Linked DNA regions of Danio rerio. The protein of the gene in region 1 purifies or fractionates together with the protein of each later gene. This does not show direct contact. Links are inferred from orthologs where the notes say so. Each region holds a gene or a part of one and is shown in the gene's direction. Other genes may lie near its edges. The genes, in order: zc3h4 and wdr82.

The links.
Region 2: the proteins of zc3h4 (region 1) and wdr82 purify together in Homo sapiens (affinity purification with western blotting; 4 studies listed by BioGRID and IntAct, with this or other methods). This does not show direct contact. The link is inferred for Danio rerio from reciprocal best matches to the Homo sapiens genes ZC3H4 and WDR82.

Annotation. Positions count from the first base shown.
Region 1 is NC_133190.1:26,185,380-26,189,946, reverse strand, and holds the start of zc3h4 (zinc finger CCCH domain-containing protein 4), read left to right. Parts: upstream 1-1,572; 5' UTR 1,573-1,797; coding exon 1,798-1,877; intron 1,878-4,567. Other genes in the region: sae1 (SUMO-activating enzyme subunit 1), read right to left, coding at 131-231. UniProt on the Homo sapiens protein: RNA-binding protein that suppresses transcription of long non-coding RNAs (lncRNAs). LncRNAs are defined as transcripts more than 200 nucleotides that are not translated into protein.
Region 2 is NC_133181.1:44,014,550-44,017,420, forward strand, and holds the end of wdr82 (WD repeat-containing protein 82), read left to right. Parts: intron 1-288; coding exon 289-358; intron 359-446; coding exon 447-589; intron 590-2,014; coding exon 2,015-2,044; 3' UTR 2,045-2,242; downstream 2,243-2,871. UniProt on the Homo sapiens protein: Regulatory component of the SET1/COMPASS complex implicated in the tethering of this complex to transcriptional start sites of active genes.

The DNA of each region.
Region 1 (4,567 bases):
CACAATAATTAATTACATTTAACCCAACTTATAATTTATGTTTTTTGCACACACAAACAATCATCTAAAAACAAGATCCATAAAATATGATTAAGTTTTGTTTTTTTGCTCGAAACCTTTATCCACGAACCTCTTTTGAGCATCGAGACCCCACAGGCGAATCTGGCGATCATATTGTGCAGCTTCCTCCTCACTAATAATAGTGTCTTCTTTTTCGATGGTATCGATCATCTCGGAATATTTGTATTTCTGATGATAAGCTGTAATCAATTAACTACGGGTTAGTTGGACTATTCTACGCTCTATTTTTTCTATTGCCCATTCAATGGGACAAAAGTGCCGCTTAGTGAAACTCGTAAAGGCGCGCAATGATGACGCAGGAGATGTGTGCCAGAATCAGAGCTCGACAATGGACATTTATCAGGGATCCTTTATACATCTAGCGAGCGTTAAATGTGTCACCAAAATATGTCATGTACATATGATGAATTTAATTTTTAATAATGCATAATTTTATGAGCAAAGGTCCGTTCATGGTGTTAATTTAACTTAAAATTTCTGTCCAGATATGAGTGAAAATGGTGCATTTTACTATTTTATAATAGTCTACTTGCAAAGAAATGGAAAAAAGAAAATTAGTACTTTTTATTTTAAGAGACATTAAATAATAAAGAGTATAAATAATATAGAGTCTTCTTTATTTTTAAAAATATTCTCAAAGGATTTGACAAATCATTTGACAATCATTATAAGATTTTCATTCATTCATTTTCTTTTTAGCTTAGTCCCTTTATTAATCTGGGGTCGCCACAGCAGAATGAACCGCCAACTTATCCAGCATATATTTTACGCAGCGGATGACCTTCCAGCTGCAACCCATCACTGGCAAAATAAGATTTTAATTTCAAACAAAATGTAATAGTATAATTTACAATAATAATGGTTTTAAGCAAACATAAACGTGACAGAATTATATTTATTGGAGTGTAGATCACTATTAATAGCATTAAATGATTGTTTTCTAGATCTGTGCTTGCAAAATAGAATCAAATAAAAAGTTGAGTTGTATAAAACTGATACTTTAGAGTTATTATATTCAATTATATATATATATATATATATATATATATATATATATATATATATATATATACATATATATATACATATATATATATATATATATATATATATATATATATATATATATATATATATATATATATATATATATATATATATATATATATATATATATAGGTCCAGAATAGGTATTGAAACATATGATACCAAAGATAATGCAATGTTGATATATTTTAACTGCAAGGCCCCTTTTTTGATAAAACAGTAATAATACAATGAATAATGATAATAATAATGATGATGATAATAATAATAAATACTGATAAAAATAACGTTTTATATTAAGATATTATGTGCATGATTACAGTTAATATATACTATTTTAACTATTACATTACCCTTAGAGTAAAAAAAAAAGTGTTTTTTTTTCATGACCCGATCGGTCATTTCCGTGACAGTCGACGTCACGTAAGTCCGCCCATTCTCTTCGGAGAAGAAGCGTCGCCATTTTAAGAGAATGAGTTTCATTTCACATCGCAACTGTAGGACGGAGAACCTCAGGAACGTTTTCAACCTGTTTCTCTTTTAAACTGTTAGGGGGGAATTGACTACAATGAACTGAATCTCTTCCTAATGCCAATCAACAAGTAGATCAAAGTCAAGTAACGCATAAGACAGTTGATTTTTTGCACTGAATGTAGTACGTTAGAGGAAATGGCTGTGGAAAGCATGACTGTCCATCCAAACTCCCCAACAGCCAACCACGAACACAACAGCCTTCTCACTGACGAAAGGTCGAGTAATATCATCATATTTCTATCCAACTATTGATTTGTCCTTTGCTTTTTTCCAAAAACAAAAAGCACGGGCATTTGCTTTTTTTCTTTCAAAGGGATTAAAGTCGCCTTTTCTGGGAAACGTACAGAGGTAACGAAACGCCATCTTGAAACGTTACACAGCGCAATCTGGAAGGTCACAAGCGAATCAGGAAAACATTCAGAATATGATCAAATTGACATTTTCAGTCACTTTCTAATGTTTTTTTAGTGATCGAAGACCATGGGGCCACCCCTACGTCAAAACATTGATCCTGTAACAGTGTTTTCATCACAGATAAAGAACAGATGGACAAAAGAAATCACAAGCTAATTTTTTTTTGTTATAGACCTAAAATTAAACTCCGACTTATTACCACAACGCAAACCGTATGTTATGTGGTAAAACTGATCCCTTTTTACGCATTAAGGAATTTGTTTATCCATCGCGAGGCCTGGACCGAGCTAAAGCTAGCAGTGCTAACAGTTAGCCAACAGTTTAGCAACAAAACACGGCTAACGGAAGCTAATGAATAGCGACGGATTAGCACGGTTTATAACTTGGCGTCTGATTAATTATTCCTTATTTAATTGGTCATCGAATGCAATACGATTTAGTTTATCTTAACGTAATAACGCAAATTTTAGTTCGGGATGATAATTTGTCTCCCTTTAGCGCTTAGCACTTATGCTAAGTGTCACGAGCTACGCACATAGATTTATTGGAGACGTCACTAAAATAACTTAAATATTTTTATTCCTTTAGGGTTTGGTTGCTTGAGCGTTACATTTGTGTTTTAACGTTAATAGGAGCTATGTAATCATAACTCATCCGCTTTTGTTTTTTAAAATAAGTTGTTAAAACATACAGGTACATTAAAATTAATGTAGTATATGATTTTATTTATTTTAAATATTTATTTTATATTTATGTCTTATTAGTAGCACGACATATGCCTGTTGATTCGGATTATAAAAATGTTTTAGGTTTCTTTACATTTAAGCTTCATGGGCTTTAATTTGGTTAAATGCCGTTACTTTTAGTCCTCCACATGAATTAATTTGTTGACAGTAGAAATAAATGTTAAATTGTTATTAATCTAGTAAATATGCCACAACAGGTGTCCCTGTTTTTCATACACTTCTTTTATTGTAATTTAGTTAGCTTAATGTACACATGCATCCCTTCATGGTCCAGTGCTGTTCAATGTCTCAGAAGCATTCAAGGTCTTATCAGAACACAAAAGTGGTTAACCATTTTGCCCAAACTGCAACCTTTCACCTCCCTTATGCATACATAAGTATTTCACAGTAAGTATTGCCAGAAATGTACAGGCCAAGTTATTTTATATATCTTTGCATGCAATTGTCTTTTATTACTTGCATACATACAGTGAACATACTTTGAATGATTATTATTTTTTAAGTTAGTTGTAAATTTGCCAAGAATTTCTTGCAACACCTTATGGCTAGATCCATTTTTGTTACATTGTATACATACTTTTTTTTTTTGCTTTTGTCAGATGTTATTTATTTCAAAGTGTGTTTGACAAGTAAATAATGCGAGGGAGCCCCATTTATAATTTTGTTTGAACCTATTGTTTTGTCATTGTATTCAAAAACATTAGAATGAAAAATTACAGAATCAAATGAGGTTTTTAAAAAAGGTGGTCTCCTTATTTACTGAGAGCCCACTATGTTATGTAACTATATTTTGTTTCACAACATGCTAATAATACCCATGAAATATTTTTGTTGACATAGAGATGAATGGATTTGTAGTTAATCATTAGTGACCATTTACCAATTGATTCTTTCTGTACTGTTTTAAAAACATTACCTGTTCAGAAGAACAGATAACTTGAGTTTAGCCATGGAAGATATGGTTCTTACAGTCCACTGATGAGGAAGTTTGTATTTTTATAATGATTTTGAGTTTTTTATATTATTAGTTAAATGTAAAAGTTTTGTCTTTAAAGTTTGGCAAATTGACTAATTTTTTATTGTTATTACTAATAGCATAAAGCTTTTTTTAAACTAGCTAAAGTTACTTAAAATATACTACAATATAAATATGTAAATGTGTCAGTTGGTTGATACTTGTGGAAACTTGTGTATCTTGAATCATATCTCATCCATGGCTTTGCATTTAGGTTCATGTTTTAGCAAATCCTTTTCCTGAAGTTTCCTTTTTCAGGAGTAAAGTTTAGGGGTTAATTGATAATGTTTTGTCAATGCGCACTGTAAAGTGCAGCAATGTTTCTCTGTCTTATGTGACTGCTCCTTATCTTTGTTTTGAAGTGTAGTCCTGTCTAAACCTTATAATTGCTTACTATACAACCTATATGTTAGATCTTCTATAAACAGGGTGGCTCTGTAGTGACTCAGAGTTGCTTTGAGCAATGCACAAATGAGCACTGAACATTTGACACCCCTAGTGTGATTCTCAACACAACTAAATTACAATGTTGCATCTGTAGATTGGCAGCAGTGTTCATAAAGACATCTCTCTTACTCTCTTCACTTGTAGTGTTTAATAGTCAGACCAGCAGAAATAGACATGCCAGAATTAAGAATGAAGGCCCATTTAATAGCTAATCAATATAGTGGACCATGATAATGCACTCCCATAATTTTGAAAACCGTAACCATTGTGCAGCTGTCAGTTA
Region 2 (2,871 bases), on another chromosome or scaffold:
CATAAAGTGCAGATGGGACATTTCTATGTAGTATATACTTTTTCATGCTGCTTGCTATAGTGCTACTGTGCTGTCATGGCATTTCTGGTAAATTGACACCTATTATTTAATGGGCTTGTTTTTTTTTTAACCAATGTAATTTAATCTTTTGAGGTAAAAAGTTTTTCAAAAATACTTAATATTACATCATAAATTAATAAATAGCCTAATTATTACAAAGCATTTATGATTATATTAGAAAAAAGCATAATAAGGCACTTTTAAGAGTGTTTCTCTTTCTTACTGCAGGGTTATAACAACAGTAAAGGTGTCATTTTGGAGGCTTCTTTCACACCAGACTCTCAGTTCATTATGATCGGTAAGTCTTCACTTAAGCTTCTCACAGGACTACAAAAGGACTTAAGATGAGTTTACAGAGATTGATCGTGTCTCCTCAACATTTCCAGGATCAGAAGATGGGAAGATCCATGTGTGGAATGCTGAGAGTGGGATGAAAGTAGCGCTTCTGGATGGGAAACACACTGGTCCTGTTACATGTCTACAGTTTAACCCCAAATTCATGACCTTTGCCAGTGCCTGTTCTAACATGGTAAGACTTAACCGAAGGTAGACACAAATCTGATGTTTGGCATAACTTACTGTATATGTAGATGGAATATGTGCAATTTGTCACATTTTCAAAACTTGTTTTGGGAGAAACTTGGAGGTAGTTATGAATTAGTTAGTCTTAGATGTCATGCCAAACACTGCTCACGGACATGTGGCTAAATGTCTGATGCATATGGCACACTTAATTGGAAACACTTTAACAGATCATCAGTTGTCCTCTGATTTCTGGGAGTCTAGTGTACAGCAATATTAACCAGTCCACCTGGAAACAAGTCTGATTGGATAAAAAAACTGCTGCAATGTTTATCTCAGTCTGCGTCCACATACATCTCCTACTGATTTCCTATATGTTTTGCTGACAGATCATTAAGTATATTGATGCGTTGTTGTAAACGTTTGAAGACCTGAATGGATGACGCATATGGCTAGGCATTCTGTAGACTCTTCCACGCACATACATAAGACACAACACAAAACGAATGGTTATTGGTTGGTAAAGCTGTCAGTCTGAAATGGCATCATGGGTGGTTCTTTAACCATTGAAATCTGCCAAAGTTCCCAGACCTTCAGCCATCAGTATATGCCTTAGTATTCCTGTTCATCTCAGTGGCATTTTTTTTACTTTGCATTCGTTTAGTACTCTATGCTTTCTGAAAATAATAAAATGTCAAATGGTGCAATCTAATCGATAGTATAATTTACTATAAAAGATTCACAGAATTTAAATGAATGAAAAGGAAATTGCTATGGACTGTAGTCTGTGAATGTTAAACTCAAAACAATTATTTAAGCATATGTGTTTTTTGTTTGTGTAAATAGATCAGAAAAATATTAGCCTCATTTTAAAGTATTACTTTTATTATTATTGTTTATTTTTGTGACTTGTGATGCAGACTTAAAAAAAAAGAACTTAAGAGATGAACATAAAACAACTGTATAAAACAGCCTTTTTAGTATAAGGTATTTTAGTCAGTAGCATTCACTGCTAATTTTTTATGGTAATTATTGGAGAAATGGAATGGGGAAAATGTGATATAAAAAGAGTACACAGGGTTGTCAAATTGTCCTTAAAATCTTCTGCGTTTTCTTTGTGTAAATACTGCAGTAGTCACTAATTGACGGCCATATATATATATATTTATATTTATATACACATACAGGGTGGGCCATTTAAATGGACACACCTTAATAAACTTATTGGGAATTTCACACAAAAAAAACAATGATGTGCTTGCTTTTAACAATTTTATTCTTTCATGAGTTATTTACAAGCCCCCTCACATACTATTGTGCCACAAACAGGACGTTAATATCACCAGCCATTCCCATTTTATTAAGGTGTATATAGATGCATCATTATTCCTGATGTATATCACAAACATATTCTGAAATGTCCCCTGCACAGGCGTTCTGGTTACCCACCATTGATGATTGATGGGCAGCTGTCATCAGTCGGCCTGTGATGTTCTTCCAGCAGGTGGCGTCATTCACCCTTCTCTTGGCACACATGAAGATGTTCACCGTGGGAATTTTGGACTGTAAATAGATTTGGCTTGATGCCGAGTTGTATTATTATTATTATTTTTTTTTCATTTTATATTTGTATGATTAAAAAGTTTTTGTAAAACATTAAGTGATCTGTTCACACATTCTGTTTTGTTTGAGGTTGTAACAGTGCTCAATGAAACTGAGGTGATGTAAAACATCCAGCAGAATTGATCTTAGCTCTCCAAACTATACCAGAAGTCAGCACCTGTAGATTTAGCATCTTGTGCGATCTAAAAAAAAAATGTCAATGGAACTTTTTTTTTTTTAATAAACATGTTTATACAACTTTCCAAAGATTTGGTTTTGAGGCCTTTCAGACATGTAATGCTTCTAGCTGTTGTGTGTAGTCCAGTATAATTGTGTCTGAGGGGAACTGCTTTTATACCATTATTTTACCTGTTTCTGTTGCATTTCTTTGTAATATCAGCATTGTAAATTGCTTATAAAAACAAATTTTATAATCAGTATACACTGACCAGCCTCTCTGAAGCGTCATCTTGTTTTGTAACTTACTTTGCACTAACAAAACAACACATTTTATTTATATGAGTTGTAGCTTTGTTGTCACTGTAATTTGTTTTATTTTTTAATCCAAATAGGGTTTTTTTTCAGGTTAGCCTCACACATTACACCTTTTCTTATTTAAAAGTTGAAATAATCCTTTCTTGGAAACTTTTTATTTCATGTACAAAACTTGTCACTTGCCCAGACTTT